Linked DNA regions of Schizosaccharomyces pombe. The protein of the gene in region 1 purifies or fractionates together with the protein of each later gene. This does not show direct contact. Each region holds a gene or a part of one and is shown on either strand. Other genes may lie near its edges.

Region 1 (4,732 bases):
ATCTTAATTTCATCAGAATGTATTGGGAGCAAATGCTAGAGGCGGTCCAGGTAGTTCATGATCAAAATATAGTGCATTCGGATTTGAAGCCGGCCAATTTCCTGCTTGTAGAAGGGAATTTGAAGCTGATTGATTTTGGCATTGCCAAAGCAATTGGTAATGACACCACTAATATCCATCGTGATTCCCACATCGGTACTATTAATTATATGGCACCTGAAGCTTTGACAGACATGAATGCTCACACAAACTCTGGCGTGAAACTCGTAAAGTTGGGCAGGCCCAGCGACGTGTGGAGTTTGGGATGTATATTATATCAGATGGTGTATGGGAGGGCCCCGTTTGCTCATCTAAAAATGATCCAAGCTATAGCAGCTATCCCTAATGAACAATATCACATTCATTTCCCCGAAGTTGCCTTACCTGCTAATGCTGTCCAGGAGAAAGAGGGATCGTTGCCAGGTGTAACTGTCGGGCCTGATCTAATGGATGTTATGAAAAGATGCCTGGAAAGGGATCAACGGAAGAGACTTACAATACCGGAATTGCTGGTTCATCCCTTTTTAAACCCTTTGCCATCCTATTTGACACCTTTGGCCAAAAAGCCGTTACCTGTTTCTGGGCACACCAATAATGCTCATCCACTTAGACTCAGCACAGAAATCTCAGCTTCTCAATTATCAATGATTATAGAAAGGTCGGTGGAGTTGAGTAAGCACAAGCGATTAAATAAGGAACTTATTGATAGCATGGCTTATGATTGCGTTAGCAATTTACGAAAAATGCCAGAATAGAGGCACTAAATTTTCCGATTATTCTTAAAAAGGTTTTATCTTTTACAAAGTTTCCCAAACATCATACGAGTTTCTTAATGTTAACGACTTTTTTAGGGAGCTTAAAGGCTTTTTTTTTTTAATCTTTAATTTTTCGCTCTTTTAAAAGAAGGTAATTATGACCTTGATTAATGAACCACATATTATATGGCCCCTGATATCTATACTTTGATACTATGTAAATATAAAGAACGCTATACTCCCAAACGCTATAAGTTGTTTGTTTACGATATAATACCTTTTTGTGTTTGTTTTTTTTAGGTAAAGCAACCAAATGAATGATGCTTTTTTATAAGAAACTTTTTTAATATAATTGGGTTATATTAGACATTAAAAAAAAACCCCATAACTAATGTAAAACAAAAACCTTTAAAAATAATGTACCGCCGGTAGAGATGATTATTAACGCCATAAATGTTGGTGCAGGAAGGGAATAAAACAGGTTCAATGGAATATCGATAATCCTAAAAAAACTTGTGAAAAAATCTAAGTTAAATCTAATCACTATCCAAAAATTTATTGGCAGAAGCACCCAGATACAGGCGTAGAGTGTTAGGGGAGCAATTTACCAATTTGCAGCGAACCTTTTTGCGCCCTGCTTCATCGTGAGCACGTAGTCGATGACAGCCCCCAAAGGCAAAATAATAAGGCTTCCCACTCTTTTTAAACGTTAAAACATCAACAGGAGGAAGCTCACCAGCTTCCAAATCTTCTGAAGTCAAACCGCATGAAGCTGGAGGAGTTTTCCCTGTCATGGTTTCCATCATACTATTGACTTTGTTCATATCTAAAACAGGAGGTATAGGACGAATTAACTCAGACATATCAAGCTCAACAATGTTGTTATTTGAGCCAGTGTGAATCGAAGTCATGATGGTTAAAAATGAATGAAAGAAAGAATATAAAAAAGATAAAGTGAACAGAAATTTTTATAAATAGAACAGAAAATTATAAAAAAAGGCAAGTTAATAAGAATGGAAAAGTGGATATTGATATCGAGTATATTTACTCCTTGATCTGATATCGTTTCCTGTTGTACTAATGATCTGCCCCACAACCTATCTTATCCCGGTATGTATATAATAATTTACAAATATGACATCATTATCAAAGATGAATCGATACTTAAAATCTTATGTAAAAATTTGTCAGCATGTTAGCGAAACACGTTAAACCGACTAGGACAAAGCAACGTGGTTACGTTACGAGGTCTGGGTTTGTGTTCTTAGTAAGGTAGTTGGAGTAGCTTATTCATTAAATGTAGATGGCAATAAAACACTATTGCAAAGATGTCAAAGTGTAGAATGATGCTACCTAAATAGAATTTCAAGCACAAATACTTAGGTATAAATAACTTGGAGTCGACGGAGAACTGTAAATGCACGAGTACATTCAAAAATGTGTAAACAAAAGGTTCACTTTCTGAAAACGCTTTCTAAAATGTGACAGAGATAACCGACACAAGATCATTAAAACAATATGAGTATTGTTTTCGAATGGTGAAAGAAGCATTAGCTAGTTGAAGAGTGCAAATTTTGGTTAAGAAGAAATTCATTGGTAGAATGTAGGCTTGAACCGTTAGTCGTCAACAAAAGTGGAATTTTAAAGATTGCATCTGAAATCCTTAAATTTTAAGAAAATCCATCCTTAAGTCAGGATTAAGAAACCATAGTATATTATTTTGTTTGTATAAGTTCGGCTGCTATATTTGCTGAGGCCAAATTGATTCTTGGCCAACGTTTTATATCATAAGATTTGAAGGCAATGTAGCAAATTGAATATTAGATTATTTTAACACTTTAAAAATGTTAGGTAATGTAAGGAATAACATTTCAATTTAAAGAAGGACTGAGCGACAAATGAAAGGCTGTTCTTTTTTTTACAATTGTTGAGACAATTACAAGAACTATGGTACACATAAAAACTTTTAAAGAGTAGCAAGGTTTTAATACAATTCTTAAAGTTTTTTGAGCAAACAGATCACAATGATCCTTTCATATGTACATGCTTTAGAGAAGTAAGGTCAATACTTCAATCGGACTTCTCATCTACAATGAAAACGCGAATTTCATAATAAATACTAATCATCCATCCGTTCTCTCATATCCTTGGTATCCTTTATCCTTCCCATTAGTCAATCTCTAAAGCCATTAATCCTCATTTTTTTATAATGCCATCGCTCAATTCCCGCAAAACATCAAACCTTTTATGAACAGATACTATCATTTACTTACAATATGTTTTTAGCAACATAGCTTCCTATTAGCCTGATGTGAGATTAACTTCGATAAACTTTCAATATTAAAACTTGCATTCGATTTGAATCATCTTTACTGCCATAAAATAGAATTGCGATTTAGGATCAAGTTAGCACGACATCATGGTGTTTTCCAATATTCGCGACCTGTTCTCAACCACCACTCACCACTTCATTAATTCCAAGTTTTAGAATTCTTTAGCTTTTTGAAGTATTACTTGTGAATTCCTCAAGTGATAGTATTTATTGTTGAAATTGCTAAATATTTTTCAATTTCATCCTGCATTGTTTCCTTCTTCAAACATTATATCAGGGAGAAAATTGAAGTGTTTTTTTGCCTGGAAATCTAATCCAATTGCTACGAAAACGAATTATCATATCAAAAAGGTAGAATAACATTAAAAAATGAATCCTGAACGCTGGGCTGCCGATTTAGTCTCTAATGTTAAGGATTACGGCAAGCGAATCATTGACTATGCTCATGAAAAAACTAGTAACCCTCAACCTGTTACAGTTCATACTACAAACAGTGCCAAGGGAAGATTGGGAGAATTTCTTTATCAAAATAGAGTATCAGTTGGCTTAGGATCGGCCGCTTTGTTCCTTGCTGGATTATCCTATTACAAACGCTATGATTATGTACGCAAGCGTCGTGCTCCACGTGCACCCAACCACCAAAAAACCCAAGTTGTTGTCTTATCTGCGTGGAACCCTCTCGCCTCAGTAATTGCTCACGATTTGGATCGTCGTGGTTTTATCGTCGTTGTTCTTGTTCGCGATGCATCTGAAGCAGCTACTGTTTCTCTCCAACAACGCCCTTACATTCAATCTTTGATTGTTACTCATAATGAGGCTGTTGAACGCTTCCTTTTGTCTTTTTCCAATCAATCTGGCCCTAAGGAGTATGCTTTGCGCCTACGTGGTCTTATTCTCGTTCCCACAGGAGATTCTTTGTACACTCCAATTGAGAACATTGGAAAAGATGCTTGGATCAGTGCTTTTCAACAACTCAGTGAATCTTTCTCTAACGTTTCTCGAATGATTCCTCTTTTGAAAAGTCAAAAGGCCAGAATCATTGGCTTGTCTCATGGTATATTATCCGCTTATGAGCCTCCCAATTATGCTGTTCCATCTATTCTTTCTTCTTCCATTGAAACTTTCTTGCGCACTCTCAAGCGTGAAACGGGCTTACAGGTTATTTGTATCAAACTTGGAAATCTCAGCTTTTTGAATTACGATCATTCTAGCTCTCCAGGTAAAAGCAATTATCCTCCTTCGTTGTGTACGGAACGTAAGGTTCTAAACAAAATTTTTGACTCCTTGCTTGGTTGCTGGCCCTCTCCAACTCGCCATGTTGGTTGTCGCACCTTTTTCATGGTCACAGTATCACGGTTCCTTCCTACGTGTGTTATTGATGGGATTTTCTCCTTGTTTGGAAAATTTCACTTCTTTTCCTGCAGTCTTATTAAGCGCAGCTAAATACTTGTATGGAGCCTCAGTTCTCTCTGTTTCCTTGTCAAATTGAACTCATCCCATGTCTATCATGGTTTGGTATAATGATAATGATGCTATGAAAAGATGTCATTGATATCCATATCTTTTGCTTGAGTTTTTTCAATTATTTTTGTTTCTATTTTTTTTA
Region 2 (4,750 bases), on another chromosome or scaffold:
AAGATCTCTTCAGATCTAATAGTATTAAATTCAAATATAGAAACCTTATATTCAAACAAACACTCTCAACATTTTTTAACAGATAGCATGAAGACCCACATGAAATAACATTCACAACAACCATTTAGTTTTAACGGTCACCGTTGTTGGAATTTACCTTTTGCAACAAAAAAGGATTGAAAACGAAATTAAATACAGCGTTTCCATTCATGCTGCTAAAAAAAGGAATGTCGTTTGAATTCATCGATACGCTCGTTTGGGTAGTAAAAATGAGCAGATCGAGATCATTAACAATATAACAAATAATAAAAAATAATAAAATTCATAGCAAACATTATAATTAGCACATACATGGTTCAACAATATACACAGTATGCAACGGCCATGCCGGGAATTAATCCCCTGTCACTTTTAGACCTAGGTGAAGAGAAAAAAGAACCGCATTTTTTAAAAAAAAAAAGCATCGTAACGATGACAAAGTGCAGCAATCAAAAAGTTGACAAGGACTTAAACATGTACATGCTGCCCAGTGGGAATTAGTTTAGTTATTGTCATTATTTTGGAGCATTCCAAGAATCTGCAAAATACGAATAAATAAATTGATGAAATCAAGATAAAGCATTAAACTCGACATAATAAACTCCTCCGGTGAGTAACGGTGAAGGATGTTGTATGTATCAAACAAGATGTAACCACAAAATACAAGTGTTCCGAAACCAGCAAAAGCCATGTCTATAAATGGCGTAGATGGTACAAAGAAAAATATTAAAGGGGTGAGGATAAGGGACCATAAAGAAACGTATAGAAATCCTCCAAGTCGGCTGAAGTCCCATTTTGACTGGAATGTAAAAGCCGTTAATGCGACAAACACTCCAAGTGTAATGAAGACAGCTTCAAGAATAATACGAGCGCTGAAGAATGTGATGGCGGTACCCAGAGTCAATCCTTCAAGTGCAGTGAAAAGGAAAAGAAAAATGTAATTACGCGGATAGGAATACGGCTTCATAATTAGACCAAACAAAACAACCAGAGAGATGAAGAAGTTGAGAATCAAGAACCATGGGTGCATTTGAACCCAAAAAGAAAAAGCAGGATGTAGGTAGAAAATGCCACCAAATAAAGAAGTGACAAAAAGCTGAGCAGTGAGAATGGCATAAACCTTTCTTAAAAAGGCCATGCGAATGCTTTTGGCGCATTCAGCAACGGGCGTAGTATTTTTAAATTGATCAACAGCGGGATTTTCGGTAGCAGATTCATTATATTCGGAATAGGCGGGAGGAGCCTGAGCCAAATTTGGCACTGAAGGATCATCCTGAGGCACAGATTGGTAATTTGCAGGCATGATTGAAAAACAAAAGAAGATACCTTAAAACACGAATAGCAAATGGATAGTTGCGAAGGAAATGCCTTATATATAATAGAATTAAGGTTTTTTTGTAAGCAATAAATTGAGATAAAAAGAAAAAACCTGTAATTTACTGAAATATGAAGGAGATAATAAAAAACACAAATATGTTTAGTCGATGGCGCTGCGTGGTAAAGGGGAAAGTCAGTAGATAAATAGTAGCAAGATTAAGTGATGGATAATATAGTGATCGTGTTCAATTACGTTAAAACAGAATTGAGGACCCACGTACCAAAAGTGGAGGACAGACGATGCATAGAACACTATGGAAATTGCAAATGACTTTTACATGAACCATTGCAACGTTTTCAAGAAATGTCGAGAACAAAAGAAGCTAATAAGGAGGCGTAAATGTAATTTGAAGAGAGGCAAAGCAGTGTAGGGTTCAAGCCGTTTTCCTCAGAAGAGTCAATTTTATAAACAAGACTGGCAAGAAAAAAACAGCAGGAAACGTGGAAACAAACACGATGAGAAAGATTGGATGAAACCTGAATTACTTATTATTTCGTAAATCCTTATATAGTAATATAACCATCTTTGTCCACTACAACAAAAAGGTGGCCACTTCGAGGTATAATACTAAGCCGGAGGACCGTGGAGCAAAATGTCAGTACATTACCTTTTGTTTTCGTCGTAAATCTTTTTGTAAGCTTCTTTAGAAAAAGATGATCCTTCTTTCTAAGACTCTCCTTTTCGACTATGAAGATTCACACCGTCTCTCCTCTACAAGTGCAGTAATAGTTTTTTTAATTCTACACACCGCAACATATTTCCTTATTTTATTTATTATAGCTCGTTCCTTTTCGTCAATAGGTCCACCGGTGTTCCTTCATTTTCTGTATATATTGATAGTGTAAGCACAAGTCCAGAACGGAATTTATCGTTAACAAGCGATTTGCATTATCGCCTAATTATTGACTAAGCTCACTTGCTTACTTCATGCATATCTCATCGATTGGGTGGATGTGCGCTTTATGTAATCTAGAACGTTATGGAATGATCGGCGTCTCGTCTAGTCGCAAGCTTGGTATGTCAGCTGGGGCTGCAGATCCTGTCCTATATAAAGGGACATGCCCTCACCGCTTCTTTTCTCCAGTGTCTTTCGATACAACATCCAAATAGTACGATTCTCTTTGGGCTCAGCAACTGTCTTAACTTGTTCCAAACCTACCTAAATTCCATATCATTAATCTATAATCATGAGTTTGCAAATCGGTAAACCTGCTCCCGACTTCAAGGGTACTGCCGTTGTTAACGGTGCTTTCGAGGAAATCAAGTTGGCCGATTACAAGGGTAAATGGGTCTTCTTGGGCTTCTATCCCCTTGACTTTACCTTTGTTTGTCCCACTGAGATTGTTGCTTTCTCTGAGGCCGCCTCCAAGTTTGCTGAACGTAATGCTCAAGTCATCTTGACCTCCACCGATTCCGAGTACTCTCACCTTGCCTTCATCAACACTCCTCGTAAGGAAGGTGGCCTTGGTGGCATTAACATTCCCCTTTTGGCCGACCCTAGCCATAAGGTTTCCCGTGACTATGGTGTCTTGATCGAGGATGCCGGTGTTGCTTTCCGTGGTCTTTTCTTGATCGACCCCAAGGGTGTTTTGCGTCAAATCACCATCAATGATCTCCCCGTTGGCCGTTCTGTCGACGAGGCTCTCCGTCTTCTCGATGCCTTCCAATTCGTTGAGGAGCACGGTGAGGTTTGCCCTGCCAACTGGCACAAGGGTTCCGATACCATTGACACCAAAAACCCCGAGAAGTACTTTTCCAAGCACTAGATCAATTTTCTGAGCAAGTGTAGTCAACGAGAGTCAAACACGATTTGTCTCGTATCTTTTTAGATTAGTTTATGAATCTCCTTTTTTGCCTATATTCTCAAAGTTTGAGGTAGTAACTGTGTGTGTATCATACTATACCATCGTAATGTCTCGTGAGGCAAGGGTGGATTGCGTAAATTAGCAGAGTGCGGATCTGCTAAAAGGAAATTATTTAATTGGGACGTCTGCTAATGTGCTTATTTTTCTCATTAATTAATGATATTTTCAGAAACGACTTTTTTAATGCATCGTATACATTTGTTTAAAGCTACAAATGTGTGGGATGCTGCTCGTAAGTTATATAACTATTTATAATTATAAATACTGTATAAAGTTATTTGAAGTCAACTTTAAGTATATGGATGAACTGGTTATAATGATTTGAGTGATTACATTGTGTTTTATTGAACTCGTTTGTATTATTATGCCTTTTGACAACATGACGACAATTCAAAACAAAAGAAAAAGGCAACCTATGTTTTAGTTTATACCAAGAAAATGGAACCTAAAAAAATTAAATCCTCTCATTGTTTTGCTTTGCGTCTATCGTTTTGTAACGCACCGACACGCACTGACATACCAAGTGACTTGCTACCTCAGATTATCTGGGGTAGACTTCGGTGGTTAAAAGAAGGTTAGTCCGTGGATTTCACTCCCTTCACCCGCATCTTCCTTATCAGGCCCAAAGGGAGTTAAACGAGTTACGCTCGTTGCGATAACATGTAAGCTACGCAGTTTGGTATCTGATTTAAGGATACGTAGAACTGCGGTGAGTTTTCCTTGTGGTCTATTATATTACAATACACAGGTTGTATAAGTAGCAACTGAGTATAGGTATTGTATTAACTGGGTTATAATGTTACCTATCACTAATATAGCTCATAACTGAACTGAGGAACGAGGTTCAGTTGTAACGCTATTTATAATATTTCTAAATACTTGTATCAACGGGTATCTATGTATATAGAAGGATAGTTACCCGTGATTATCAATAAACGGATCTTAGCTAGTATTCCAACATATGACATATAGTGATACGCAACGTAGTGTAGCATAGCGTAGTGTAGTATTGCTGACATAACGAGAATTTTCGAGATATAAAGAAGAATAGGTTTTCAGTTCATTCAAGTCAATATAAATGGATAGAGATACATAAAATAGAAATTTTAATTGTAGTCGCATTTTATTTTTTATTATTAGTAAAATAATATTTTACTTTGCCTCGTACCATATAGCTCATTCACAGCCTTCCAATGTTTCTAAACTGAAGAAGACTGGAAAAAGGCGAATGTAAAGAAATACAACAGTATAAACGAGATTGACTGCTTCCCAAAATGATTTTTTAAAAGGATGTTTGTAAATCTGCTTGTATCCAACACACTGGGCATACAGTGAAAAGTTATTCTTATGAAACCAATGTGTCAATACGCTTTGTAAACAATGACAGAAAAGAATGTATCAAGAGGTAATGGTTGTAATTATCACGTTATAGATAGGTATGTAATTATTGATATAAATCAAGAGAAAA

What was found. Proteins that work in one complex are often made in the same cells at the same time.
Region 2: the proteins of srx1 (region 1) and tpx1 purify together in Schizosaccharomyces pombe (affinity purification with western blotting, with the first as the bait; one study listed by BioGRID). This does not show direct contact.

Annotation. Positions count from the first base shown.
Region 1 is NC_003423.3:375,132-379,863, forward strand, and holds srx1 (sulfiredoxin), read right to left. Parts: upstream 1,882-4,732; 5' UTR 1,706-1,881; coding exon 1,331-1,705; 3' UTR 1,122-1,330; downstream 1-1,121. Other genes in the region: dual-specificity protein kinase Mph1, read left to right, coding at 1-794; SPOM_SPBC106.03 (steroid dehydrogenase), read left to right, coding at 3,496-4,569. UniProt on the Schizosaccharomyces pombe protein: Contributes to oxidative stress resistance by reducing cysteine-sulfinic acid formed under exposure to oxidants in a peroxiredoxin. May catalyze the reduction in a multi-step process by acting both as a specific phosphotransferase and a thioltransferase.
Region 2 is NC_003421.2:2,083,469-2,088,218, reverse strand, and holds tpx1 (thioredoxin peroxidase Tpx1), read left to right. Parts: upstream 1-2,499; 5' UTR 2,500-2,604; coding exon 2,605-3,183; 3' UTR 3,184-3,277; downstream 3,278-4,750. Other genes in the region: BAX inhibitor family protein Bxi1, read right to left, coding at 542-1,342. UniProt on the Schizosaccharomyces pombe protein: Thiol-specific peroxidase that catalyzes the reduction of hydrogen peroxide and organic hydroperoxides to water and alcohols, respectively.